3 linked regions of the Mus musculus genome follow. The protein of the gene in region 2 binds, or shares a complex with, the protein of the main gene of each other region. Links are inferred from orthologs where the notes say so. Each region holds a gene or a part of one and is shown on either strand. Other genes may lie near its edges.

What was found.
Region 1: Ppfia1 (region 2) and Ppfibp1 share a complex: the UniProt entries of both Homo sapiens proteins name them as parts of the cortical microtubule stabilization complex. The link is inferred for Mus musculus from reciprocal best matches to the Homo sapiens genes PPFIA1 and PPFIBP1.
Region 3: Ppfia1 (region 2) and Erc1 share a complex: the UniProt entries of both Homo sapiens proteins name them as parts of the cortical microtubule stabilization complex. The link is inferred for Mus musculus from reciprocal best matches to the Homo sapiens genes PPFIA1 and ERC1.

The regions. Positions count from the first base shown.
Region 1 is NC_000072.6:146,990,291-147,000,309, forward strand, and holds part of Ppfibp1 (liprin-beta-1), read left to right. Parts: intron 1-223; coding exon 224-310; intron 311-2,111; coding exon 2,112-2,225; intron 2,226-3,015; coding exon 3,016-3,147; intron 3,148-6,099; coding exon 6,100-6,192; intron 6,193-6,518; coding exon 6,519-6,611; intron 6,612-7,876; coding exon 7,877-7,991; intron 7,992-9,371; coding exon 9,372-9,404; intron 9,405-10,019. UniProt on the Homo sapiens protein: May regulate the disassembly of focal adhesions. Did not bind receptor-like tyrosine phosphatases type 2A.
Region 2 is NC_000073.6:144,515,746-144,525,764, forward strand, and holds part of Ppfia1 (liprin-alpha-1), read right to left. Parts: intron 5,317-10,019; coding exon 5,215-5,316; intron 5,045-5,214; coding exon 4,880-5,044; intron 4,306-4,879; coding exon 4,231-4,305; intron 3,902-4,230; coding exon 3,800-3,901; intron 3,623-3,799; coding exon 3,404-3,622; intron 2,002-3,403; coding exon 1,855-2,001; intron 376-1,854; coding exon 241-375; intron 1-240. UniProt on the Homo sapiens protein: May regulate the disassembly of focal adhesions. May localize receptor-like tyrosine phosphatases type 2A at specific sites on the plasma membrane, possibly regulating their interaction with the extracellular environment and their association with substrates.
Region 3 is NC_000072.6:119,820,335-119,830,353, reverse strand, and holds part of Erc1 (ELKS/Rab6-interacting/CAST family member 1), read left to right. Parts: intron 1-4,534; 5' UTR 4,535-4,673; intron 4,674-5,144; 5' UTR 5,145-5,299; coding exon 5,300-5,968; intron 5,969-10,019. UniProt on the Homo sapiens protein: Regulatory subunit of the IKK complex. Probably recruits IkappaBalpha/NFKBIA to the complex. May be involved in the organization of the cytomatrix at the nerve terminals active zone (CAZ) which regulates neurotransmitter release.

The DNA.
Region 1 (10,019 bases), on a different chromosome or scaffold from region 2:
GGTACTTGTTTTCTGTTTACTCAGAAATGGGGTAAGTCTAGTGAGTTGTGTTTAGGTGCCTGTAATGCTTATTTTGAAGTCAGTTAATTCTTACATTTTCCATCCATGCCTGCTGTGCTAAATTTAATCCAGGCCCCTTGAGTTTAAAATATCAGTTTTACTGATTGATAACATATCAATCCTAAGAGAGAGTTGACCTTACTTATGTTACTTTCTCATTCAGACAAATGGACATCTACCTGGGAATGGAGATGTGTATCAAGAAAGGTTGGCACGTCTAGAAAACGACAAGGAATCCCTCGTTCTTCAGGCAAGTGGTACTTGAGGCCATTCCTTTCTCAGGACATGTGTCCTTGCAACTTTGAATCACATATATGTGCAACACCTGTATTAAGCACCTGTAGTAAACATGTCATCTAAGCAATATAACAACTGCTTATGTGCATTTACATTGTACTGGAAAACCTGTGGCTGAGAGTATAAGGAAGATGTGTGAGCTGTATGTGAACATACTGCTGTTCCATGAAGGGACTTGAGCATGCACACTGATATCTGCAGGGATTCTCGAACCAGCCACAGACAGATGCCAAGGGAAGACTGTACTTTCACAGACTACTGAAAATGAAACAATTTGTACAGCAGCCCAGCCAGCCACTGAAGGAAACAGCCAGTGCAGAAGAAGGCAGCTGTGGTGTCAGTGACTGTAATCCCAGGACTTAGAAGGCTGGGGCAGGAGATTTGCCATGAATTTGAGACCAACCTGGGATATAACCCCAGATCCTATCTTTTTTTTTTTTAAAGATTTATTTATTTATTAATTATATGTAAGTACACTGTAGCTGTCTTCAGACACTCCAGAAGAGGGAGTCAGATCTCGTTACAGATGGTTGGGAGCCACCATGTGGTTGCTGGGATTTGAACTCCAGACCTTCGGAAGAGCAGTCGGGTGCTCTTACCCACTGAGCCATCTCACCAGCCCTCTCAGGTCCTATCTTACAAACAAGAAGGGGGTGCTAGGTCAGCTCTCTGTACCTGGAGTGCGCAGGGCTGGCTGTGGCCAGCTTTGTCACCCAGTTCTCAGGAGCAGGTCAGACTTGAGATGATTTTGCCACTTGAGATGATTTTGTATGTCCCCTGCTGTCAGATCTGATTTTATATACATTTCAACTGGAAATCCAGATCTGTGAATTCCCGTAGTATAAAAATCTCTTGTCTGAATATATATTAACTTTCCATCTTTTAAAATGACACACAAACCGTACAGAGTAGCCGAGTGGAGCCTGCTGTTGGGGAGTACTATGCGGTACTTGCTTTTGCTTGCTTCCTCATGGTGTTCCTAAGTACAGAGAAAATGCCTTTATCTTTATGTTTCGAACGATGTGGATCAAAGAGTATTTATTCAGCTGGTATCCCAGGGGGAAGACTTGTAGATCTGCATGGAACCCTGGGGATGAGGGATGGGCTTCACTGTTTGTTTCCTGGGCATGTGGTGCAGTACCCTGGCTTTTTCCTTTTCCTCTTTGGTGTTGGGACCTGAACTCATGCTAAGTGCACCACAGCACTCTTCCTTTGCCCTTGCTTTGAACGCACTTGTGACCATGTTCATCTTGGAAGAGCTTGTAGAATTTGAGGTCTTTATTCACCTTTGCTCCTTTTTATTATTGATCCGTGAAATCTGCGTGGTCCTTTGTGCCTGTTTCCTCACTTCCTCTGTGGCTCCCGACTAGTAGTCTCTTACCATCGCCTTCAACATCAGATTTTCCTAATGACAACTGAAATGGTTTTAATGCGTAAAGAAACTGCAAATCTCTCATCAGCACCATGTTTCTCCTAAATTGAATAGGAATCCTTGGATCATAAGGCAGCATAGGGCTGCAGAGGCTGCCCGGTGGTAGAGAGCCTGCCTATCCTAGCATGCACAAGTCTTGGGCTTGATCCACACAAAGCGAAATATAAATAGCAAAGGGTAGGACCACTGTCCTCTTGTTAAGTTTGTGATGTTTTAAACCACCGTGAGTGATGGATCTTAGTCCTCATTCCAGTTAGAGAATGAGCCATGCTTTGGGGCCCAGAGCCTTTCAAACTCATAGCCTCTTGCTTTGATTTAATAGGTAAGTGTGTTGACAGACCAGGTGGAGGCTCAGGGAGAGAAGATTCGGGATTTGGAGTTCTGTCTTGAAGAGCACAGAGAGAAGCTGAATGCCACTGAAGAAATGCTGCAGCAGGTATGGGCCAAAGCTGGTGGGGGAGGGGATGCTGGATTGTGTTATCTGAGGTGCAACATTCCTGTCTTGTCTCAGCAGCAGTAAATTCCAGAATCCCTAGACTGTTTTGTTTGAAGTCTAGAGTAGCAGAGTCTAAAACCACAGAGACACACAACACTGTGCAGTTATGAGAGAACACAATATTACAGGAATTATAAGTTGATCTTTTGCGCTCATATTATTTCTAACTCTCAACCGTGAGATGAAAAATCACCATATGTGGCTTGTTAAGGCAAAACCTCATATATATATATGCGTCCCAGTGCGTACATGGGGCTTGTGGATGAAAAGCCTGTGATGCCGCAGAGACTGTATTTGGATGCAGAGTTGCTGCTGTTGAACATCAGTCTGTGCTATTGCCTGCCTTGACAGGCTCCGGACCTCCCTGTCCTCGTGATCTAGGCTTCCATGTTTCTAGAAACCCTGATAAATGAGGCTGATAAGCTCTTCTTCCTCAGGAGACTTTTGCAGGGACTGAACTCATGAGCATGTCTCCCAGTTCCTGATATAGCAGGCACCATGCACAGCACCATCAGTGCTGTCGTTGGGCTCAGGAGTCTGCCAGATGCGTCTCCCCGACACCCTGATGACACGTTGTAGTTCTGTTCAGAAGAGGTCACTAGATTAAGTGATCCTCAGCCGTGTGGTGTGTGGCAGTACTTCACCCACAGGCTACACTTAACCGTTGCCGCTCTGCCGTCACGACAGAAATGTGTAATGTAAAACTTGTGAACATCTGGAATCCTAACAGGAGCTTCTGAGTAGGACCTCCTTAGAGACACAGAAGCTGGAGCTGATGGCTGAGATCTCTAACTTGAAGTTAAAACTGACGGCCGTAGAGAAGGACAGGCTGGATTATGAAGATCGGTTCAGAGACACAGAGGTAAGTAGCGCATGCTCGCATGCTCGCATGCTCGTTCTGTCTCTTCCCTCCCTCCTCAGCCCTCACTGTGCTCCTTAGGGCAAGAGCACTGCTCAGTCTCTTCATCAGACTGATTAAGGCTTTTAACCCCCTTTGATGTTTGAGACATGGTTTCCCTGTGTAGCCTGGCTGTCCTGGAACTCACATTGTAGACTAGGCTGGCCTCGAACTCAGAAATCCACCTGCCTCTGCCTCCCGAGTGCTGGGATAAAGGCTTTTGCCACCACCATCTGGCTTTATTTTCCTGTAAGAGTCTGTTTAGACTTTTCCCTTTTCCTTACCCTCTCATCCCTAATAGAACAGTTGCTGTTGAACCTTCGTAGTAGCTGGGGCTGCAGGAGGATTGTTTCAGTGGTGGTGGGAGGAGGCTGTAGGGATGGGAACTAGGAGGCTGGATGGCGGATAGGAAGGGAGTTGAGGAGGCTGTCCACACTGTAGGAGGCGGAGTCTTACTTACCTGGTGCACTGTGCTTAGTTTAATCTGGTTATGAGGCTGGTTGTGAGGTTTTGCAGCAGGTGTTTGTCACGCCTTGTTTCTCCCTACTTCTGTCTTCTCCTGTGTTCTCATCCAGGGACCCTGAGAACCTCTAGAAAACACAATCCTTGATCATATCCTATGAAATAGTTTACACTGCTGATATAAGGGTGTACACATATTCACAGGATACATTACAGTATATTTGGTAATTTTACATTTATATTTAAAATAATCAAAATAGCATTCAGACGTTGAAACAGAATAGAATATGTACATGTTCTGGCTTAATGTCCCCTTAAAAATAAAACTTTTAGCTAGCTATTCTGCAATCCTGAATCGCTTAACACTGCCATAATTTTGAGAGTTTGGATGTTGGTTTCCAGGAAAATGTTGAAGTAAGTGGGGAACATTTATAGGTGTTTCCAAAACCTAGTGCGTTAAAATCTTTAAACCTTGAAGATTTGCGCCCCCTTCTGGTGTAGGCACAGATGGCTAAAATGCAGAGCTCTGAGTAGCGCCTGAGCTGATAAGTGTAGTAGTTTAGATTACATTGGTTTTTAAAAAGATTTTCTTTCCTTTTCTCTTTTTGCATTAAAGAGGTAGTTCCATATTTTCCAGCCCGACTTGTCTTGGGCATATCAAGCTTCTCACAGGTTGGAACTTCAGATTCATATTTAATCCATTGCCACCAAAAACAATTGGATAGTTTGTCTTTAAAAAAAAATAGGAAAATGGCCCCACTATGTAATTTGGTTTTCTATAATTCTTCCTTCATCTTTGCAGTCAGCACTAAAGGAAGGGGTAATGTTTATAGCAGTCCCTGCCGGGGGTTCAAAGCTGCCTGTTAACAATAGCAAAGCCTGAAAGATCAAAGGAAGGAAGGCCACTCCTGGCTTCTATGCAGGCAAGATAAGCTAGCAAGAGAAACCAATTCTTTTTAAACTTGAATTCAAATTATTTAAACAACTTTCACAAGTACATTTTTAAAATGGCAGTAGAAATGGTATACAATTATATTCTGTTATAAAATCATTTAGGCTTTTAAAATTTTACATGTATAAAATTATGTTATTGTATTAGATATATGAATATACTATATATATATATATATATATATATATATATATTAATTAGACCCTCATCTACCTTCATGTTGAGATTGTTGGCTTAAAGAAACTTAAGTTTATATTTTTATAGACTAGGCAAAAATTATAGAAATCTTTAAATAACTATAATGCATCACAGAAAAGAATTTTAAGGTTAATGGAAGAGAAAATACTCTAGTTTATATGAAAAGGTGGGGTCCATAGTTAGTTTTAATATAGAAGCAGATGCTAAGTGGCTTTGTTGGTGTTAGACAGCCTTCTGCATTAGTTGTGTTTCTGTGATGTTACAGTGAGCATGGAACATCAATTTGTCACAGCCTAGAACCACCTGTCAACAGTCCCAATTGAGTAATTCATCTTTGTCAGGTTGGTCTTTGTCAGGTTGTCAGGTGGACATGGTGTGAGGAATTGCCTTGACTTTCTTAACTGCTGTAGGCAGGTCCAGCTTATGGTGGGGCCTCCATCTTCTGCACGATATAGAAAAGCTAGGTGGACATGAGCCAGGTCAGTGAGGCAGTGAAGGAGCCAGCAAGCAGCACTCATCTGGTTCCTGGTTCCTGCTCCCAGGTCTCAGACTTGGTTTCCTGCCCTGGCTTCCCTCAGTAATGGACAGTGACCTGGAAGTATAATTCCTCCCCGCCTCCCCTCACCACACACACAAACACACACACACACACATACACACACACACACACACACACACACAGTCTGCTTTTGGTCAGATTGTGTCAGATCGTTTGATCACAGCAACAGGAAGAAAACAAGGACTCATCACTATAACAGATACCCAAGACAGCTTATAAAGAGACAGTTTTATTTTAGCCAACGGTTTTGGAGAGCATAGTCCATGAATAGTGGGCCTCATTGCTTTGAGATGGCGTTGAAGCAGCACATTATCATGACGTGCAGGCAGGAAGCAGAAAAGACGGCAAGGGGCTGGGGTCCCCAAATCCCTTTCGAGGGCATGCTCCTAATGGTCAAGAATCTCCCTGCAGACACTGCTGCTTCAAGGCTCCACAAACCTTCCAGCCCCACACTGGGGTCCTGGCCCACAGTTCTCACAATAGCATTTCTCTAGTCAAAGTCATAGCTACGTTTTTGTTTTCATAAGCACTTAGGGCAGAAGCACTAGAAGGTTAAGTTAGTATTTTAGTGGAAGTGTGCTTTGGCAGTTAGGGGTAAATTTCACTGGATCTCCCTTTATTAGGACTGGTTCTCAAACTCGTATCCAAGGAGCTGTGCTGGCTTAGGGCTTTCTGGCTACTCTTTTGGTGACTGTGCCATACCCTTTTCTAATTATTATTATTACTATTATTATTATTATTACAGGGGCTAATTCAAGAGATCAATGATTTGAGGCTAAAAGTCAATGAAATGGACGGTGAAAGACTTCAGTATGAAAAGAAGCTCAAGTCAACTAAAGTAAGTTTCTCTGGGGAAAAATGATGTTTTTTTTTTTTTTTAAACATGGTCTATTGTTCTATGAGAAATATTATTTAAAAGAAAGTGTTTTCCAACTGGTACACGGCAACACACATATCTCACAACTAAACCGTGTTTCTCCCAAGCTGGAGGTGCTTAGTTGACACGCTAGAGTTCTCAGTAAACCCAAGGCTTCACTAATCTGCCAGGACACAGCCTGTGGCATCTGGGTTAGCTGACCTTCTTTATGAACTGATGCTGTTTTCTTAGTTATTTAGCTTATCTTTTCTGCCTCGTTTTCTCTCATTCCTCTGTCTCTCTACCAGTCTCTAATGGCCAAACTCTCTAGCATGAAAATCAAGGTGGGTCAGATGCAGTATGAAAAGCAGCGGATGGAGCAAAAATGGGAGACCCTGAAGGTGTAGTAGACGTTGGCGGGAGCGGGCTGCCGCCTTGTGGCGTGTGTCGTTCTGCTGTGATAGTGTTTTCAGTAGCATGTGCATCCATTGCGTGTATGTGTGTCACCTGTCTGTTAAGAGTGCATACACCCAGATTAAAGGGACAACAAGAGTGCTAATGTAAATAGTAAACGGGCAGAGCATAAAAATGTCAGCTTATCAGCTTACTGCTTAGACTGTCTGACCCCTAAGTATCATAAGATAGTTGTTCAAAGTTCACCTGTGGAAGAATTCCGTCTCGTATGAACTGGAGCCTGCTCTCCTGTGAGGGGTCCCCGGAAGGCCAGTGTGTGTGCGTTCCTTATCACGACAGGGAAGAGAAGCCACTGCTCAGAAGCCCTGCAGGGAGAGGGGGCAGCACCTCTTTCAGGGATACTGAAAATTTCTGGACTTGGCTCCATCCTGTCTATCTTTACTATGAGTCAGGAGTACAGGGCCAACCTGGCCTCCTGGGTGGGTTTTTCATAACACTGAATGTATAGATAGCTGAATGAAGACTGAGAATAAATGCCACACTGAATAAAAGATGCCTGTTGCCATTGCATAACTAATTTCTGTGACAGATACAGCCTGAAAAATATAAATTTGCTAAACTAGTATTTTCTAAAGCCAGGCTGAGTTTTAAAATGTTAACAAATACATCAGGGCCTCAGACGCTCTTGCAGATTTCGTCATTTCAAAAGGAACACTCAAATCCTCACTTTCCATTGCCATAGGAGCCTGCCTTATTCAGTGATAAGAGTAAATTATCTACTTCATGATTTGGTCAGTCACCCCTGAATTGCCTCCCTGTGGCTACTGATGCCCAGGGACGATCCCAGAACCATGAGTGTCACCTTGAAATGCTGAGGGAACCAATCCAGCCTCTTTGAATTTGCTTTTTATTTTGCTTTTAAGACAAGTATCTAATTTGGTCATCTTCAACTAACTTGGTGAGACTTTGATTTAGCGCAGGCAGAACTTTAGAGAGTACTCGGTCTTGGTTATACTTCAACTTCTTACATTTACCCACAAACTTGAAACATTTACACTGCAATTATTACAAATTATTTATATTAATGGTGTTTATCCTTGCCTCTGTCTAATTTGTGTTTGCGTGTAAGTTTTTGTGGGTTTTTGTCTCATTCCTATAGTCTGAGTATTGATTTTTAAAGGGCTAATACCGCTTTATGCGTATTCCTTTTCTGCCATAGTCTACTGTTTTAAAATGAATTTATAATTTGTAGGACGAATTGGCATCTTTAAAAGAGCAACTGGAGGAGAAGGAATGTGAAGTAAAGAGGCTGCAGGAGAGACTGGTTTGTAAGGCGAAAGGAGAAGGGATCGAAGTCCTCGATCGAGGTAAGGCTGACTGTGGTACTCGATGGTTTCATTGTGATCCTGTAAACTGCAGGAGAGGATCTGCTGTTGGACAGTAGAACAACAACTCCAATGACATTTTAAACTCCAATGACATTTGGATCTGACCTCTGCAGCTCTAGCACGTGGAAATGGAAGCAGAAGGAATATAGGTTGATACCAGCCTGGGTGACACAGGGAGACCATGACTCAATTTAAAAAAAAAATCTTGAAATATAATATGTATAATGTCTGGCAGTCCTAGAATGTGTGTGTGTGTGTGTGTGTGTGTGTGTGTGTGTGTGTGTGTGTGTGTGTGTGTGCGTGCGTGCGTGCGTGTGTGTGTGTGTGTATGTATGTATGTATGTCTGTATGTAGCTAGCAGTTTCTGACTCATTTGGACAGATAGATTCTAGTTGGTGTAGTTTTGTCTCATGCCATGTAATGTATAGAAACAAGTTGCATTCTGCACATATTTCTTTATCCATCAGAAAACTCAGCGTTACAGAAGTAGATTTTCCTCCCTGGGTCTAGACATGAGTAAAATAACATTACAGGATGTTCAGAAATAGACCACAGCTTTAGGGTTGAATCTGTTGCTCACACACTGTACCAGGGAATCCATAATGCCATCTCACTTTCAGAGTTTAAGAACAGAATGGACTGCGTGAGTACATGTGACTAGACATGTCTTTGGGGTGCTGCCCACACAGAGTCAGGGACTAGAGCCAGTATGAACTGCTCATTGTCACCGTGGGACCAGCTGAGTCCACAGTCTGAGTACGAGGTTTAGACACCTCATGGCAGTCTGACCCTGATACTGACTTGTGTCAGCAGTGGACCTGTCTCCTTGAACAGGGGACACACTGTTTCAGTGGTATTGGACCTGAGTGCATAAGTGAATAGCACGTGGAAATGGAAGCAGAAATAATATAGGTTGGACACCAGCCTGGGTGACACAGGGAGACCATGACTCAACTTAAAAAAAGAAAAAAATCTTGAAATGTTAGTTTGATACCTGGTACTCAGGAGGACCAGGTATCAAACTAACATTTGGGAAAACCCACCAGAGTGACATTAGCCAGTCCACATCATGGTTGGTTGACCCTGAGGCCTAATGTCCACAAAGAAGCAGCGAGGTTCAGAAGGACGAAACTCGGGTGTAGCGCCTCGGCCAACCGCACAGCAGTTCTTCCCGAGGCTCCAGCACTGCTTCCTGCATCTGCCAGCCTCAGAGTCGTGTGGGAGTGCTTCGTGTTCTGGGTTGTTCATGAGATTAGAGTCCCAGCATTTATGTAAAAGGAAACCAACTACTAGTACTTGTAGGATAGTGTTTTGTTATAATAGATGCTAACTCCCAATCTGATGGGTTTTCCTGTACAGATGAAAATATTAAAAAGAAGCTCAAAGAGAAAAGTAAGGCTTTGGTGTGTCTCCATCAGCTTCTCATTCGTCGTCAGAGCCACTTCACTCTTTGCATGATCTAAGCATCTCTGTCCACAGAAGTGCAGCTGCTTCATCCATAGCCCCTCATTTCTGCACAGGGTACAAGACAGAGGCTAGACAGACAGGCCATAAAGCAAGGAGGAAAAGATCATCTTACAGGTGTTTGTTGCAGCCTGTTCACTTCCCAGAGTGCAGCAGGACACAGAGGAGTGAGCTCAGAAAGTGTGCTCTCTGTGTGCAGGTGGCGTAGGCACAGAAGAGAAGGCAGCTCATTACTCAAGTCACCACAGCAGAGCTTGTGGGTGAGCTTCGCTGGGTCTGCACTGAAACTCATTGTTTAGCTGAGGTCCACATTAGAAGATTTATGGAGCCTGGACTATTGAATGCACATAAAGATAAATCCTTACTAACCACAGAGAGTGAATTATTAGGTTAAAGAAACTTGCTTGAAACAAACAAACAACAAACAACAAACCTCAGCAATTCCTACTTGAAAATGTATCAGTGAGTTTTATAAAGTTACTAAAATGTTTTCCCCTTCAGAAGCTGGTAACTTCAGGTGAATATTTCCCTGTTTCCATATTT
Region 2 (10,019 bases):
ATCTGAGAGATCTGAGAAAAGCGACAACCTTTCTTCAAGTTGGTGAGAGAAATAATCCAAGCAGCTGTGACTCTTGGATCCTGACACCAAGGATAGCAGCATTCACCTGACAGGGTTTTGGGGACTGGTGTGGAATAAAGGTCTTGAGCTAGACAGAAACCGCATTCCCATCATCCATGGATGCAAGCACACTAACAAGAACATCAAGCCTGCCTGTGAGCCCACATGGCCCAGGCGCACCTTGGAGAGTGCAGCCACCCTCTGGGCCAGCTCAGCCTCCACCTCTGGCAGCGTCTCAGCTTTGCGCAGGGTCTGCTGCAGCTTCTGCTCGGCCAACTCCAGACGCTCTTGCAACTGGCGGTTCTTGTCTTCTGTCTAGAAAGGGCACAATCAGGAGTTCAGGCTGCTGCTTTAGACACCTGACAAAGCACCTTATGGCTTCAAGGCTTTATCTTCTTAAACACAAAGAAAACAAAACAAATATAGGTTCCTATACATAAAGAAAAACTAGTTACTCTTGTGAGTTGCTCATTCTACAGAAAATGAGTCACTCTCCACCCAGAGTGCTGCCTGAAAGCCTAGCCTGTGGCAAACTGTTATAAAAATACTTGGATAAGAAATCTACTGCAGAAAATCTAAGTAAAGCAGGAAAGAACCTGTGCATGTGGGGAGTGAGACCACGGGGGCTACTGTCTGTGGACACGGTCCCCTTGCTCTGTGTGAACTCAACAAACATTAGGCCTCACCCTAGTTCCTGATTCTAAGCACTGCTTCATGGCAACAATTTTCATTTATTTTTGGTCAAGCAATGCCCTTTGCCCTTAATAAATCCTTTCAAGCAGCCTGACTAGGTTTTTTTGGTTAGTTCAATAACCTGAGAGCACACAAGGAAGAGGGTGATGGCTGGCTCCTATCACCTCTGACTTCTAGTGCTGTTGGGTGCACAGTTCAGCAACTGCCAGCAAGTTCTTACTGCTTAGTTAGTGAAAAGACTGAAAGAAGCAACTGGCTTCCAATGAAACAGAACAAAGGGGAGACAGTTCTGCGAGCAGAGTGCCTGTTGTGCAAGCATGAGAACCCGTGTTCAGTCCCTAGTACTGACATTTTTTTAACAGGGCTTGGTGCAGCAGCACATGCTTTTAGCCCGAGCACTGTGGAGGCAGACCCAGCAGGAACCTTGGCACTCACTGCCCTGCCAGTGTAGACAACGTGTGAGCTCAACATTCAGTAAGAGACCCCGTCTTTAAACATTACAGTGGAGAGGCTAGAAAAAGAGTTCTGTGGCTAAGAGCATTTGCTGCTCTTCCAGAGGACTCAAATTTGATTTCAAGCATCCACATTCACTGGTTTACAACCACCTGTATGTAACTCCAGCTCCGGGGGATACCATACATTCTTCTGAATTCCAAAGGCACCTGCACTCACACAAAGATGTACCCATATAAAATATACAAGATTAAAAATAAAAAAAATTTTTTTAAATCTTAAAAATATATTTAAAAAAAATCTTAAAAGTACAACTGAAAATAAAATAAAATAAAATAGGGCGGAAAGCAATAGAGAAAAGACCCCTGACTTTGACCTCTGACTGCCACATGCACACACCTACACATACAGGTGCAAATGTGCAAGCATACACCAACACATACAGGCACAGGCACACATTAATGCTCATAACAAAAAAAAAAAAAAAAAAAAAAAAGGAACAGAAGAATCAAGGTTCTATAAACTGCTAAGAAGTAAGTCATAAGAAAAATGACTTAAGTACTTGATTTCCAACATACAATTTACAAAGGAAAGGTCTTCGGCTTCACAAATAATTAAAACTAGAAAGGGGCCCACAGACCCCAGTACCTGTCGGTGCATGGAGTCTTTATTTGCAATTTCATTTTCAAGTTTGTCATTGAGGTCATGCACAGACGTGGCTTCACGCTGTGCGGCGAGGTAGCGTTTCTCAAGGGTGGTGATTCTCTCTTCCATATCCTCCTTCTGGGCCATTGCCTGTGTTGGAGATTCCAGAGGGAGACGGAGATGATAAACGCAGAACTCATCAGAACACTCAGGAAACAGAGAGACACCACACATCTCAAGCATGAAACTGCTGCTCCCCCAGTGTAAACTGCTTTTACAACCAGAGTGAAAATGGACACACTTGAAGCATATTCGCCCACATGATCAACAGCTTTGTCTGGTTAATCTGCTCGTGTCACCAAGCATGTACTTGACTACACAATACTAATAAAACGCCCCATACAACACTTCAAGCATCCATGAATCTGAAGGCATCTGCAGTGAAGGTGTAACCTGTGTCTGCCTAAGCAACAACCAGGCTTATAGAGCACTGTGGGCAGAACTGCTTCATTTTCTCAGTAAGAGCTGGACAGACTCACAAACCTCAAGCATGTTGACAAAGAGACAGAAATCAGCAAGGCCAAAACTATAAACCCCAAACACTGAGCCCAGGACTTGACTTTTGGCATAGTTGGTATCTGTCTTCTATTCCCCAATTCAGTTTTTAGCTTCTTCCTTATTTCCTAACTGTTGGCTATCTATAAATAAATTTTATTGTATGTGCATTGAAATAATGTTTTGCCTGTATGTATGTCTGTGTAAGGGTGTCAGATCCCCTGGAACTGTAGTTAAATTACAGATAGTTGTGAACTGCTATGTGGGTGCTGGGAATTAGACCCAAGTCATCTGGATGAGCAGCCATTGCTTTTAACCACTAAGCCATCCCTCTAATCCCCTTACTATATTTCTTAAAGAGGCAAGTCTTAAAAGAACATCTCAACTCTCTACCACAGAAATAATTCCCTGTGGCCCAAGAACAGCACAACCTAGTTGATTCTCTAATTCATGCAGTGTTTCCTTTGACCTGAATTCTTACAATAAATCACATTAATCTCCAAAACTAACGCTCCCTGGTCTCACATGCTATTAGGTGGGGTCTCCTGGGGTAACAAAAGACAGGTTCAGATGGAACAGAAAGAGTTTACAAGAAAGCATGCAGCTCTCATTTCTTTTCTAGTGACCAAAGAGGGTCTTGTAATTTACCAAGGAAAACTGGTTATGAGGTGTATATATAAACAAACATTTCCATAGAGACCCTGATGGGCAGAGTGAACCACCTCAGTACTCAGCACCATACCATACAAATGACAGAGGACAGCTGGTCTACCTCTTCTTGCCCCTACAAAAGCACAACTGACATCATGTCTGTGGGCTCTGGGAGCAAGTGAGAAGAAACCGAACACAAGAAAGAGTGCACTACTGCAGCCATGGTAGCATATGATCCTCATGTGAAGGGTGCAGGAGAGAGGGTGTCTGGTGTGTATGCCAAAGGTTCCAGACTATGAGAGCAAAAGATAGAGGGAGCAGGAAGCCAGGCGCACCCCGCACTCACTTCACGGACTTCTCGCTGCAGTTTCGTATTCATCTCTTCAGACTTGATGAGGTCTTTTCTAGCTGTGTCCAGATCCTCTTCTAGTTCTGCTGCATGACTGGACAGGGAGGCCAGGCGCTCCTTCATCTGGCTCTGCTCTCTCGCCTGCCTGTCTATGACTTCCTGCAGCTCCAGCACTTTGGCAAGATCCTCATGACTCAAGGAGCCATCAGAAGATCTCTGAAAAGCACAGCCCTATGGCACCATTGGGCACACCACCCGGGAAGCACAGACCTTCAGAGGGAGGAACCTGTGTGTTCCTCAGTGGACACACACCTTAGTTGCCACTATTCCCCAACAGCCCTACATGGCAAAACAAAACCAGAGACCACACAGGAAAAAAAGCCAAGGACTTGCCTTGCCGTTGGTGCTTGGTGCACTTTCCTGTTCATGGTTTCCGTCAAGCAGTCCATCTGTTAGTGTTTTCTTCTGATTATTCTGTTCTTTAAGAATCATTAGCTACAAAAGAAAAATTGAACTCACTAGCGTGAGATCTTTACGTAAGAGAAATGAGCAAAGGTGGCCAGTGGCTTTGGGAGACAAGTGGCTCTAACAGCTGTGCAGTCAAAGGCTCTGAGCAGAGCTCTAGAAACCATTTGTCATCTGCAGAGAGAGAGAGGTACTTGGGAGAGGCTGAGGGCTGAGACAGAATCCAGTGACCCCAGCAGGTTGATCTACACCTAGGAAAATAAGTAACTTGCAGTGTCTATTACTGTCTTATACTTGTAAAGTTAAGTAACAAGTATCAATCCCTTTAGTTCCAATCCCACGACAGAACCCAAGCTTACCTCTTTGTGGGTGGCACCCAGCTCCTCTTCTAACAAGCTGCACCTCTCCAGAGCCACTCGTAGTCGCTCTCGTACCTGCAAGTGAAGGGCTGAGTGTGCACTTGGATTCCTACTGTATGCCCAAGGCAACACAGCATTAGCAGAATACAGCAGACTGGTACTATACCGCCACTTTTGAACCAGGCTGACTGGAACCTGGGAACCCTGCTGCCCCAGTCTCCTAAGTGCAGGGATTACAGGTGTGTATGTTTTTAATTTGACAAAATCTTGTTCCTAAATAAGTCAGACCACTAATTATTTTCTTTTTCAGGAGGGGAGGAAAAAGTTGAGATATAAACTTGCCACATAGTCCAGGCTGGCCTACTACTAATCTATGTGGCCAAGCAAGCTTCAACCTCTCAGCAAGCTTCCTTGCCTCTCAGGGGCTAGGGTTATAGGCTTTAGGAATCACACTAGACCCAAATTCTTATTAGCACATTGATATAAAAATGTTAAAACATTCGAGTCAAAGATGCTTATCAGCCAGCCCATAGGCCAGTACCCTCTAACTGAGAAAAGCTTTACATAGGAGCTCCAGAAGTTACAAGCATGATCACAGTGCCATGCAGCCCCCTGACAGGGCATACAGGTGTCGGTATGGTGATTGTACCTTCTCATCCAAGGCTTTGTGGTGTTCAAACAGTGACTTCAGGGCTTTCAGCACTTCCACCTCACTGGACACGCCTGCAGGTGACTGTGCCTGCCTCTTTACCACTGTCATCCGGAGAGAGCGCTCATGCCTGGAGACAAGGCACTCTAGGTGCTCCAACAGCAGCTGCAACAGAGCCCAGCAGGCGGTAAAGTGCTCGCTTCATAGGTAAGCACTATATCCACCCACAGCAAGGGAATATAAAGTCAACACAGCACGAGCAAAGAAGCCCCCTAGGCTGAATTAAAAATGGGTTGATGACCCCTTGAAAAGTGGGAAAGGCACAAGTGACTGACCCTAGTGTTGTTCCTCTCTGCCTTCAGCTCGGCGATTTCTTCCTCTCTCTCTAGAAGCTGCTCCCTGCACACATTGAGTTCCTTCGTGAGCGCAGCAAACTCCTAGAGAGTGACAAGCACAAGAATGATTGAATGAATTCATGTGCAAACAGAAATCTGAGAAAAGACTCCAAGAGCCTCCATTAGAATACATTGTAAAGTGTCTCTGATTCTCCAAAGAAAAGGGGACTTGGAAGGTGTCTTCAGGCTTCCCTAGTAACCCAGACCTTTCATCCAGCCCTGCAACCGTCCCTCTCCTATGTCCCAGGCATGGCCAGTAGGCATGGTGCCATCCAAGGCTACATCTTCAGCAACTTCAGAAGATCAGGAATAGAGTAGGTAAAGACACTGTTAGCAACTTGAACATTTAGCACCCCTGGAGACAGCAAAGGAAAAACCTACAAGGTGCCTGGTGCAGGCACTCAGGAGGCAGAAACAAGTGGATGTCTGTGAGTTCGAGGGAAGCATGGTCTACAGAGTGAGTTCCAGGACAGCCAGGACTACACAGAGAAACCCTGTCTCAAAACAAAACAAAACAAAACAACCCTACAGCCTGGCCTGGTCTAACCTCTTCTCTCTGGGACATTTCAGGGTTAGTCTTCTAGGCAGAAAGTATGCCCAAAGGCAAACCTTAAAAATTGATTTTTCACAAGACCAAAACCTTTTGAAGAGATAAGGAGAGCTCTGGGAGCTGACCATTCCACAGTGCTGCCCCAGGGTACTTCTCACACTGTCTACTAAGTGTTCAGGACACCAGGAACAAGCTGAGTATAAGCCATGTATTTACTGGTTTCTCAATGAACCCAAACCCTTGGAAATAACTGCTCAGAAATAATCTACCTGCTGTTTCTCTGAACTTTTGAAAGGAAGGCTAGTGGTCCACCTGATACAAAGCCAATCAGACATTCAAAGTATAAAAAGTGGTAGGCAATTTTACTTTTAAAACGCAAGCACAGGTCTTTGATCCAGGCAGGTGGATCCTGAGTTCAAGAGCAGTCTAGTCTACAGAGCAAGCTTCAGGAAACAGGGCTTCCCTGCTTTAAAACAAAATAAAAATTTAAAACAAACAAAAAACAGGCCATGTGTTCAACTCCCACCCACAAAAAACTGCTGCCACTCAGCCAACTGACTACCAGTCACCCACTCCAGCTTCATCATGCTGGCCCAGCAACGTTGCCTATGCTCCAAGGCTGTAGGTGAAGACAGCCAACAGTTGGAAGAGCTCTCTCTAGGGAGCAGCTTGAGTGAGAGAGAGGACACAGCTGAGAGCCAGTAGTGGCCATTAGATTCCCTGGAACAGGAGTTACAAACAAGTTGTCAGTTGTCTTATGGGTGCTAGTTAGTGAACTTGGGTCCTCTAATAAGCACAGCAAGTACTCTTAACTGCTGAGCTAACTCTCCAGACCCAGTTTATAGTGGATGAAAAAGAACAGCAGGCACCAAGGCTATGTATGTGCAGGTTGAGACTGTGTAGTCACCACTCAAGGTGACACACCGAGCAATTCTGCAAGCCCAGGCTATTAACTGATATTGCCATATTTAACACACATCATAATCACTGAGAGTTCTGGTTATTCATTTAAAATCTAACTCTGGGAACATGAGAGAACACTCAGCAATTATTTGGCAGCTGATAACCATCCATAATTCTATCTGATGCCTTCTTCTGACCTTCCTGGGCATCAGGACATACACAGATTACATACGTACCTGTAGGGAAAACACTCATACACATAATGATTAACCCCTCCCAAATAAATCTGAGCAAAATAAATCTGCATTTCCATTTGACATTATCAGGGTTCATTAAGAAACTAATATTAACCCCTAAAAATAGTTCACAAATGTGGTCCACCATGCTTGGCTTGACCCCTTCCACACTTATGTGATGTTCCGTACCTCATACTCTGTCAGCACCATCAATGGCACCTTTTAGTGTTTAAATTTTATTTTGTTGTTGCACTAAAAACATCCAATAATTATTCCGGATAGGTAGTCCCATATACCAAGTCAGGGACCACCTGAGGATACTGTGCTGCTGAAATAAGCCAGACACAGTAGCCGAAACACTGTGGGAAATATGAGCGTCCTCATCTGAATCATGAAATTAAAAATCAAAACAAAACCCCAAACTGCGGGGTAGGGGGAACTTCACCAAAAGCAAAAAATAAAAAAAATTTTAAAAAGTCTATTTCTTGTCATTTTAGGACAGAAAGAGAGAGAGAGAGAGAGAGAGAGAGAGAGAGAGAGAGAGAGAGAAAGAAAGGAAGAAAGGAAGAGGAACAGTAAAAGCCAGCACAAAAGCCAACTCACACAACTAAGGCCACTTGCAGTCACAGCAGCTCCCTACCTTAGATCTAAAATGAAGGGAGCAATGTGGGTGGGGCAGTACCTTTTCACACCAGCACTCACCTCTCTGCCCACTGTCCACACTAACAAACTATGGGAGAAAAGGGCTGAAGGGACAATATTGCCCATGATTCCCAACCTCTTGAGACCCACCCAGAGCTCATGACCGCAGAAGCAACTGCTTGTCAGTAGCTAAACCTTATCTATTAGTAGCAGGTTAAAACACAAACATTAGGCACAGCACTGCACTACTGTGATCCCAGCCCTTGGGAGGCAAAAGCAGGGAGGATCACCATCTTGAGACCAGCCTGGGCTATGGAGAGGAACTTTCTCAAGAGATATAAACAACCCCCGCACATATGTAGCACATGTGCAGCTTGATCTCCATGTGGGTCCCAAACAACTGGAGCGGGAGCTATCCCTAAAGTTGCTGCCTGTCTGTGGAATCTATTCCCCTACCTTGGCTGTTTTGTCTGGCCTTGGTGGGAGAAGCACCTAGCCCTGCAGAGACCTGATGTGCCAGGTTAGGATGTCTTACAGGAAGGCTGGCTTTGTTAAAAGCAAATGGACATCTCTTCTTTACACAGATCAACTACAGAAAAATACATTTGAACTGTTATTGCTTTGATCCACTGTAGCCAGTGAAGGCGCTAAAAGTGACCATTTATATCTCTCCATAAGGATAGATTGTTGAGCATTAAAACTAGGAAAAAGGGGGCCAGCAAGATGGCTCGTGGGTAAAGGCACTTGCTGCACAAGCCCAACAGTCTGTGGAAGGATAGAACTGACTCCTGAAAGTTGTCCTCTGACTTCCACACGTGTGCCACCAGACATACATGCATATATACACATTCGTGTGTATGTATATACACATACATGAATAATTATAAAGTAAAATCTTCTATAAAAAAAAAGAAAAGGAAAGGAAAGGAAAGGAAAGGAAAGGAAAGGAAAGAAAAGAAAAAAAAAGAAAAGAAAAGAAAAGAAAAGAAAAGAAAAGAAAAGAAAAGAAAAGAAAAATGAAAATTGTCCCTTTGTGAGCAAGGTGGAAGCTCAGTTACATGGCAGTAGGGACTGGCCACTTGGGACTAACTTGCTCTGGGATGACCCACACTCCTCCCTGGCCTGCAAGCCCCACTCCTGTCCTCACCATCTGTGCAGCCTGGCTAACCCCACTTCCTCCCCAGAAGAGTTCAGGCCAACACAGCGTCCACTGAGGGTAGGAGCTAGCTTCCATCCCCTCCTGATCTGGCCTGCAAGAGAACAAGGGCTGCCAAAAGCCATCCATGCACCTCATTTCCTGCTTTGCCACTTTAGAATATAGGTGACCCTGGGGCGTACCTGCCTGTCCTATCTCCTGCCCTATGCCTGTCTCTATCTTAACTAGTGCCAGTGAGAAACTCTGCATATCTGTGCCTGTCTCTATTTGGATATCTCGTAAGGCTCCATATACTCTCACACTGGAATGATCACTTTTTCCTGCCCTGCCTCCAGCTCCTAAGCCAGTGAACACCAGGACCCAGCCACACAGTCCTGATGCACAGACAGCATGTCACCTCCTTCCACTCACTATATCACCTGCCACACTGGGGACTCCTATGACTGACTGCATCTCCCACGCATCTCTTCTAGAGCCATCTACTTCCCATATCCCCTATCACGCCACCACGTCTGCTTGTTCCACTACAGAGCTGCCTAGTTCCCTGGGTCCCCCTTCTTCCTTCTTTCAAATCTGTCTTCTGTTTTTCTGAAACAAACAAAAACCTGAGACTCTTTTACTTAGATTCTTTCACAAAGGCCCTGTGGCATAAGGTCAACACCAAAGCTCCTTTGTACTGGTAAGAAGCAATAACACCTGACAAAAGCCTATTCTGGCATCTGGGTAACAGAAAACTAGCAGGGTATGAGGTTATGATTGGGGTCGTGTTGATGGCAGTTGATTCACCACCCCCACTAACAACAGTGGGTCATTTACTGGGTCAGCACTACTGATAAAACAAAACCTAACTAGTGCCCTGTGAAAAACTCTGAACTCTTTTTTCTTTTTTTTTTGGTTTTTTTCGAGACAGGGTTTCTCTGTGTAGTCCTGGCTGTCCTGGAACTCACTCTGTAGACCAGGCTGGCCTCAAACTCAGAAATCCGCCTGTATCTGCCTCCCAAGTGCTGGGATTAAAGGTGTGCACCAGCATCGTCTGGCTTGAAACTCTGAGAGTGCATATATATAGACAGACACATATACATTTGGGAGATGGGGCAGAGCCTCAACAGCCAAAACTTTATTTTTCCTCTTAGCCTTTTTATACCTTTTTAGATTAAAAAAAAAGTTCTTATAAAATTAGCTCATAGATAAATGCTACACCAAAGAAAAGTAACAGAAGGATGTCGATAATAAGTTCAAAGCAGTGTTTCATTCTATA
Region 3 (10,019 bases), on a different chromosome or scaffold from region 2:
CCTGATTAATTACAGGGCGTTTCTATGCCTGTTAGCTCCTGAATAAAGATATAGAGACCAGGTATTTTTTATTAACAAGCTGCAAGCACTAATAGCGGGACAGATTCTGATCTATTCTAACCTGACTAGGCTGCTACTACCCAGCCAAATTTCCTTGCCATCTGGTCTTGCCCCAGTTTGCTCTGGTCCCTGTGTGTCTGTCTCCATGGCAGCTTTCTCCTCGTGATCTCATGGTGAATCCTCCTGGTTTCTTCACAGGGTTTCTCCACACTTGCTTCTCCTCCTGGTCCTTCTCCACCTCCCCGTACCCCCAGCCCCCGTTCCTTTGGGACCCCTTGACTGAGATCAGAAGTTCTGCCTATCTCTTCTGCCCAGCTAATGGGGTGATCAGCTGTAGAGCTATTAAACAATCAGAGGTGATGAAAAACAATTTTTATGTAACATAGAGACTGGAGATGCTTGATCATGCTATCATCTGAACTGCACCCAGATATCTGGGCAGAGAAATCAGCATCTGAGTACACAGTGCACAAAACATGTAAAGTAGAGAGTAACCAAGGAAGATAACTTACATTAGCCTATGGCTTCTAACAAATACATTCATACCCAATATGCATCTGTATAATGCAGACATTACATACATGCAAAAATCACAAAAAGTTCTCTTAATGTTTTAAGTAAGTTACAGTTTTTCATGACACTTTTATCTTAGCTAGCCTTGGCTACTTGTGATCTGAGGGTTGGAGTCATTCCTGTGTGTATATGAATATATGCATGTTGTGTAATACTGATTGTATTATATGCATTCTTTCACAACTTACTTTTCTGTTTTACAGCAATAGACTATGGTTATCCACACTTTGTATGTCAGGTAAAGATAAGTATATTTAGAGTTTGCAGATAACATAATTTACTTAAACCAATCTCTTGCTGAAAATTTACATTCTTGCTGGTACAAATGATGCAGTAATGAACATCATTGTACATTGACCTTAGAACCTATGAAACATGCAGAATGGTTTAAAAAGTGAAACTTGTAAATCTTGGGTTTGATTCTGCATGCTTGTGCTCCCAGCACGCGGAAAGTGGGAGAGGAGCATCAGGACTTTAAGGTCGTCCTCAGCTGCATGACAGAGTACAGAGATCCTGTCTCAGAACACAAGCGAAAAAAAAAATCTTCTGAGTTGGAAGTGTAGCTCAGTGGTAACCCTTTCTTACCTTGTGCAAAGCCCTGGGTTCAGTCTCCACTACTATATATAAAAAAAATTAGAAGAGGAAACTTCTTTTTCAAGTGGTAGCTCATTTCAAATTGTGATTCTGCTAAATTGTACTTCAGTATGATTTTTAAATCATTTTTCAGAGAGCTTAAAATGAATATTTGTGACCCTAGAAATTTCATAGCTTTTCAAGAAAACAGTCTTACAAAAAATTTGGAATATAATTTAAAATTTAAGATACTTAACTCATTTTCAGATAATAAGTGATTATTACAGATGAGTATAACTAGTACAGAAGGTTAGTCTAGTGATTTTGAGATTTAGGCCAGAATTTTACTAGCAGTGCTTTAAATAGCTAATGGTAGTAATTACATCTTTTGCATCTTCTTATAAATGTCTCATAGCACATTTATGTGAGCCTATTCTGTTATAATTAAGGTAAGTTACTATGTTACTCTTAAAGCATTTTATTTAGTTCCATGGTATGCTTACAGCTTTTGTAAGAAGAGTGAGAATTAAAGGGTCCGTGCAATCTCTGTGTACAGATGTACATGTAGACATTTGGGTACACCCCAGGATTTTGATTAAGTGTATCTGCGGTGTGTGGCCAGTGTTGACATTTTGTGTTTTTTATGGTCTAGAAGCTTTGTGGTGGTATGAAGGTGGCCAGGCTTGACTTCAATTTTGTTGTTCTATTTTGAGAACTCATTGAGATTAGATAATAAATATGCAAAGTGGAATTTGAAGTGTTATGAAACAGCTTAGCAAAAGAGTTTGACACCCTTTGCTGTTCCTCTTTAACCTTTCACCCAAAAAGGTCACATTTTTTCCATGTATATGATATGTATTGAACATGTGCAAACTGTTCTTGCTTAATCACTTTCTGTTTGTTTGTTTGTTTGTTTTTCAAGACAGGGTTTCTCTGTAGCCCTGGCTGTCCAGGAACTTGCTTTGTAGACCAGACTGGCCTCAAACTCAGAGATCTGCCTGCCTCTGCCTCCCTAGTGCTGCAGTTAAAGGCATGCCACCACTGCCCAGATGACTTACTTTAAGCATCACAATTATTTATATATAGCTTACTCTGAGGTAGGTATTATTAGTGGTCTAAAAAAGGCTTAGAGTATAATGGTGGATATGTGTAGTCTATATGCAAAGCCTTTTTGTATAAGAAATTCCAGTTATGGAGTTTTGAGAGCCAGTCCATCCCTACCCTGGTATCCTTCCAACTTTATGTCTTTTTTTGTTCAGTTACCCATTGGTTAGTTTGTGCTGTTCATATTCTTCTGGATGTTGAACCACCCACTGAAACGTGGTTAACTAAAGGGAACCATACTCAGAAAGAAAACTGACTCTCCCTACCCCAGAAGCTGTCAGCTGTTCGTAGCTCTTCAGTTAAAGGAGTGTGTAGGCTTTTAACCCCCTTCACTCAGTGCTAGACTGTGGACTGGCTTGATCTTGTGCAGGCAAACACAGCTGCTGTGAGTTCCTTAGTGTAGTGGTCCTCTCATGAGAAGACAGTCTTTGCTCTGGGTTTTCCCTGACCTTTGGTTCTTACAATGTCTCTGAATACTTTTCCGTGATGATCCCTGAGCCTTGGGGAGGCCAGGATATACAGTATGTCTGTCCCATTTAGGCTGAGTACTCCACAGCCACTAATTCTCTGCACTTCTCTCACCAGTAGTGAGTTTCTGTGTTAACCATCATTCAGCGCACAAAGAAACTAAAGAGTGGCAGCACTCTACAGATGCAGAGATAAAATTTGGAGGGCAGTGTGGTATTATGTCTGTTTAGCAAAATAATCAGTCAGTTCACTCCTGGGGCCTATGAACTTTCCAACCATGGGTTAATTGGCTAGATTTGCAATACCAGGCATGTTCTTCTTCCCGTGGAACAGTCCTTAAATCCAACCAGAAAGTGGTTACTTCCATAACATCGATGCCAGCCCCTTTTTTGCTGTTCTCAGCTTGGGAATATTGTTGGTGACTTTCATTTTCTCTCCAGTAGCCTGCATAGCTATAGAAGTAGGTGTCGGAGAGGACGCTTCCTGGTCTTTACCAACTATTTATGTTCTGTGACCAATGTGTGTAGTGTCCTCAGAAATCAAATCTTACCATTAAGTTTAAGTTCTGGTGGGCAGCCAAGAGCGGAGCCAGCACTCTGTACTTTTTTCCAGTTCTTTCTTTTTGAGACAGTTTTGCTGGCGACACATCAGCTTGGTTTGGAATTTGTAAAAGCTCACATTGGCCTTGAACTTGATAACCTCTTGCTTCATCTTCCCCAATGCTTGGGGTTACAAGCAGATACAACCCTGTCTGTCTGGTTTATTTGTTTTGTTTATTTTATTTCATCTTATATTTTGAGACGTAGCTCAAGCTGGCCTTATCTGCCTCAGACTCCCTGTAGCTAGGATTATAAACATGTCTCATGTCTGCTTTTATAATAAAGTCTGTAGTTCTTTATGAGAATATGATGATCTGATGGGACTTTGTTTCCCAGAATTTTACTTAGAACATTATTGGGTATTGTACAGTATCCGGTGTTGATGTACATTATTTTATTGATGAAATACTTGATACGTATGCTCAGTGTTACACATAAAAGCACTCGGTAACCTGATATCAAGGAGAGGTTTCCCTGCCAAATTAGTTTTAAAAAAGGGGAAGGGCTGGAGAGATGGCTCAGTGGCTAAGAGCATGTTCTATTTTTTTTTTAAGATTTATTTTTATTATTCTAATTATGTGTTATGGGTTATGTGCACATGAATGCGGGTGCGCAGAGGTTCAGTGGTGTCTGATTCCTCTGGAGCTGGCTATTGTACTTCTAGTCCTCCATTTGAATTTTAGAATCAGCATTTTTAAATTACATGAAAATCTACTGGGATTTTGTGAATGAACTGGGAGAAGAGCTGATACCTTCACAGTATGGGTAACTTTTAACTTTTTTTTTCATTATTGAGGTATGATTTTATGTATTTTAGTAGAGATTTAAATGCTTGAACATTTTTGTTAGGTTTTAGGTACCTTTTATAGGTTTGTTGTTGTTAGCAGGACTTAACTTATTTTTTGATCAGGGTCTTGTGTATGTGAAACTCAGCTGTAGATGAAGATGGCCTTTACCTCTTCTGCTGCAATTATTGCCATGTATGTGCTGCAACATCCATTAATGTAGTGTTGGGGCTCGAACCCAGAGCTACATTTCTTCTCCTCCCCCTCACTCTTCTCTCTCTGTATGATATGTGTTTGACTGTTGGCAGGGGTCAGCCTCAGGTGTTGATCCTGGCCTTCACCTTGGTTGAAATGGAGTCTTTTGTTCTTTAGCTGGCCCATGAGCTTCTGGGAATTTTCCCTTCTCCGCCTCCCATCTCACCATAGGAGCACTGGGATTTCAGATGCATGCTATCGCCTTCAGTTCTACCTCATTTCTGGGGAAGTGACCAAGTGTTCTCATCCTTGCATGGCAAGTACTTTACACACTGATCCATCTCCCTAACCTTAACCTTAAGAGCTACATTTTCTAATTGTTATTCCCAATGTGCATGAAAGTATTGATATTTAAATATTGATCTTATGGAAATTTAGCTGTTATTAGTTCTAATGATGTGTCAAAGTATTAATATTTATATATTGAGCTTCTCTCTGACTAATGCATTAAGTTTTTTTTATTGATTCTGATAATGTATTCAAGTATTGATATTTCTGCACTGATCTTATGTAATGTTCTGAGTTCTGTTATTCAAATGTTTCACTTGGTAATTATCAGTTGATACTCTAATTTTTAATTAGAAAAACAGTACATTATGAGTAATCTAATTTTAAAGCCATGAGAATACTTAATGAAAAGTGACTCTTCCCCAGATAAAGGTAACAGAACACCTCTGAGAAAAGTATTTATCATTGGAATATTTAATGTATGATCTTTTCATTGCAGATATGGCATAAGATATTTCTTCAAGATTGGACAGCTGCTGGCCTGCTACTTCTGTTAGCTGTAAGCTGACTTTATAGCCATAGAGAAACCTCACAGAATCACATTGTTGTTTTTTTCTTCATACCATTTCTGGCACCTAAGTTCACCCTGCAACCATGTATGGAAGTGCTCGATCAGTAGGGAAGGTGGAACCAAGCAGCCAGAGTCCTGGGCGATCACCTCGGCTTCCTCGGTCCCCTCGCTTAGGTCATCGGCGAACAAATAGTACAGGAGGGAGTTCTGGAAACAGTGTTGGAGGTGGCAGTGGGAAAACCCTTTCAATGGAGAATATACAGTCCTTAAATGCTGCCTATGCTACATCTGGCCCTATGTACCTAAGTGACCATGAAAACGTGGGTGCAGAAACACCTAAAAGCACCATGACACTTGGCCGTTCTGGGGGACGCTTGCCTTACGGTGTTAGGATGACTGCTATGGGCAGTAGCCCCAACATAGCAAGCAGTGGGGTTGCTAGTGATACCATAGCATTTGGAGAACATCACCTCCCTCCTGTTAGTATGGCATCTACTGTACCTCACTCTCTTCGTCAGGCAAGAGATAACACCATCATGGATCTGCAGACACAGCTGAAGGAAGTATTAAGAGAAAACGATCTTTTGAGGAAAGATGTGGAAGTAAAGGAGAGCAAATTAAGTTCATCAATGAATAGTATCAAGACCTTCTGGAGCCCAGAGTTAAAGAAAGAGCGGGCCTTGAGAAAAGATGAAGCTTCCAAAATCACCATTTGGAAGGAGCAGTACCGAGTTGTACAGGAGGAAAACCAGGTTAGTTTCATTTATACATTTATCTTTATGGGCTGAGTCCATGTATATAAACAAAAAGAGGCATTCCTTTTCCATCCCGTCTTAGATTTCCCCCATCTTTGTTCTTTTATTTTTTTTATTTATCCTTTTTACTTTAGAACTCTGTTTCTACTTTCTTAGCCTTTTTAAGACTTGTTCCTGTACATGGTGCAAAACACTCACACATATAAATTAAAAAAAAAAAAATCACAAAGCAGTGACGACAACAACAAAAACCCAACTTGAGCTGGACAGTGGTGGTGCCCACCTTTGATTCCAGCACTCAGGAGGCAGGGGCAGGTGGATCTTTATGACTTGGAGGACAGCCTGGTCTACAGAACAAGTTTCAGGACAGCCAAGGCTACATAGAGAAACCCTGTCTCAAAAAGAAAAAAAAGAAAAAGAGCTTGAGGACTGCTTTGGCTACATAGTGAATTCAGGGCTAACCTGAGGTTACATATTGAAGCTTTGTCTCAAAATTAGAAACAATCAAACACAGGACTGCAGATACAGTTCAATGAAAGAGCATTTTCCTAGCCTGTAGCAGGAGATTCTTGGACCTGTCTTGCCTTCAGATTGTCATCACCTGTATTGGAATGGCCTTTTGGCCGGGAGATAGTGGTGGTGGTGGTGGCACACTCCTTTAATCCTAGCACTCAGGAGACAGAGGCAGGCAGATCTCTGTGAGCCTAAGGCCAGCCTGGTCTAGAGAGAGTGCTAAGGCAACCAGGGGTACACAGAGAAATCATCTCTTGAAAAACAACAAAAACAAAAAATCAAAGGGCTTCTTAATGATACAGTTGCATTTGAGTCACCTCTGCCTCTGTAAGTAGCCCCTCAGTCATAGCCTTTATTTTATTTATATTGGTGTTAGGTTTTGTCTCTGTGTATGTCGGTTTGAGGGTGTCAGATCCTCTGGAACTGGAGTTACAGACAATTGTGAGCTGCTGTGTGGGTGCTGGGATTTGAACCTGGGTCCTCTGGAAGAACAACTAGTGTTCTTAACTGCTGAGCTGAGCCATCTCTCTAGTCCCATAAGAGCAGGATATTTTGTTGGTTTGCTTGCTTGTTTTGGTTTTTGAGACACAGTTCTCTGAGTAACACCGGGCTGTCCTGGAACTCACTCTGTAGACCAGGCTGGCCTAGAACTCACAGAGATCTTCCTGCCCCTGCCTCCTGAGTGCTGGGATTAAAGGAGTGGGTCACTGTGTTTGGCTCCCCTCTCCCATATTTTTCTAAGTCACCTCAATAAAAAGTATTCATTGGCATACCAAAGTAAGTAAAAGGTTCATATTTTTAAAAACAATTTAAAGTCAATTCAGCACTTCTCTCTTGCTTCACTGTGTGGTGTGGGCTGGTCTGGAACGCTTCTGCTTCCATCCCCAAGTGCTTAGATTTATGTTAGCTTGCCTGACCACCAGCTCAAACTGGTCCTTTCAAGAGTAGATTCATTGTCTCTCAGTCTGACTTGATTACTCAGTACATAAATTAAAAGCAGATCTGGTTTTACCAAATACACTATTGAATTACCTAATCATCAACGTGTCTTGCTGAAAACATAGCCACCAATAAGGTAGTTTTATTGTCAAGTGACCTGGAAATGTTTATTGAGGAAAAAAGTTATTGGCATATTTTTTGACTTTGAAATAAATAAAGCATTTCTTAATGTGTATACTTTAAGGGTGTATGGGGATCAGGAGAGAAATCATTTCAGTATCCCTTTTCTAGTTACCAGGGTATATTCAAAGGCAAAATATTTAATTTTCTGAGAAGACAATTATGGGCACTTAGTATTTTCTGGGAAAGGAACAGTCCACAGGTTTTTCTTGCCAAGGAAACCATTATGTGCTGAAGATGGTGAATACTGCTTTATCTGGGTCCACCCCATGCCCTAATTAAACGCCAGTGCTGGCAGATACATTCTTCTTGCACCCACTGTAATTACCACAGAATTCTAAAATTGTGTAACTTTAGTCCAAAAAACAAAGGGTGCAATTTTAAAGACAGTACAGTGAGATACAGACACTGAGAATGCTAATTAATAGATTATAGTCAGCTAGCAGTGGGCCCCTAATTAAATAGTGCATTCATTATCCTCTTCTTAGCTCCCAGAGGTCAGACATCTTTCATTTGTGAAGAAGACTGGTTTATTAGAATTTATAGCAATTAAATACATTTCTGTATTTCTGTTTGAGCCTGGGGATTTTGGTCCATTTTAAATGTTTGATCTGATTGAGCTGGGTCCAGAATCCTATCAGTATAGAACATATTTGCTTAGGATTGCTGATTGCTTGGTGGGCATGACTCATTATTATGGCTCTCTTAGAAGCTTGTGTCTAAGATAAAATTTCTCAGGTGTTTCTATGTCTTAGACTCCTTTTGTTACTTTACTTTCAAATAGTTGTTGATTAAGAGTTGTGTGTGTGTGTCTATTTATGTATGTGTGAATATAAATATATATATTTGAGCAGAGAAATCCTTTTCTTCTAAAAAAAGTTGTGACTAGAAAGACTTTAGTGTTAGCTTTTTAGAGAAGAATGAAAATCTTCCTATGGGCTTTGTATTGTTGCAGAGCTAGTGAAACTTTTGGAGAAGTTACATTTTAGATTTTATTTTCATCAGCTATTGTACTTAAAAAAAAGATTTGTTTGTTTATGTATATGAGTGCTTTTCTGCATGTAAGCCTGCATATCAGAAGAGGGCATCAGCTCCCATTAGACATAGTTGTAAGCTATGACATTGTTGTTGGGAATTGAACTAAGGACCTCTAGAAGAGGAGAGCAGCCATGTGCTTAACTGCTGAGCTGTCACTCCAGTCCTTTGTACTTTTTTTTTTTTTTTTTGATTATGTGTTGTAAGAATTCTCTGTGTTGGATTTAGTTGTATGCTTATTTTAAGGATAATTATTTTATGGCTGAGGAGATGGCTCAGTTGTTAAAATGCAAGTGAGGACCTGAGTTTGATCCCTATGTAACAGCTGGGCATGGTGATATGCACCTGTGATTCTAGCCCACAAGGAGACAGGAGGACCCATCCCTGCAGCTGCTGGCCAGCTAGTCTTGTGGCATCCTCAAGTCCTAGGTGTAAACAGAGATGAAGAATGAATCTGGAAGTCATCTGACATCAAGATTTAGCTTCTACATGAACACACAGCTATAAGCGTGCATATTTGCATGTTCACAAAGCTGTACATTCATGTATACACATGAACGTATACAGATATACACACAGTAAATAATTATTTTAATGCTCTTTCACTAAAATTTTGTTTGAATAGAATATTCTGTTTGATATTGTAGGATGGCAAGTGAACTGCCTTTAATTTTTTTCTTTTTCTTTTTGGTGGTTAGATTGTATTTGTGTGTGTGTGTTTGGATGTGCCTGTGCTGTGGTGCGTGTGTGGAGGTCAGATGATAGCTTTTGGGAACAGGTTTGCTTCCATGGTGTGTCCTGAGGATCACCCTCAGGCTCCGGAGATAAATTCTTTTGCCTCTTGAACCATCTCACTAGCTCTGATGTTTTCTTTTTGCTTAGAATATTTATTCTTTTTGGAATTGGCTGCTTCTCTTTTCTGTTGAGGTGCTGAAGATTGAACCTAAGGTTTTATACCTGATAAACAAATGCTCTACCACTAAACTATACCTCTAACCTAGGGTTTTAATTTTATTTATTAGGCCTTTGCATGAATAGAAATATATAATTGAATATGAGACATTTCTTCTTGTAGAGTTACATTTATTTACTTGGAATGTAGTGGGATAGTTGGAAAATAATTCAGTGAATCAAATAAAGTTGCATAAGTATCTGACATGGTTTACTTGTAAGAATATTATTTTCCAAGCCGGGCGCGTGGTGGCGCATGCCTTTAATCCAAGCATTAATCTGATTCTTGAGAGGAAGAATTTAAAGAAAGTGGTAGCAACTTGGTCTAGGGAGTTCTTGAACAATGGAATGAGTGGCATAAATGCTATTCAAGGGCAGCCTTTGTTGCTGCCAGCAGAGGTGATAGGAGGAGAGATGGCAGGACAGACCT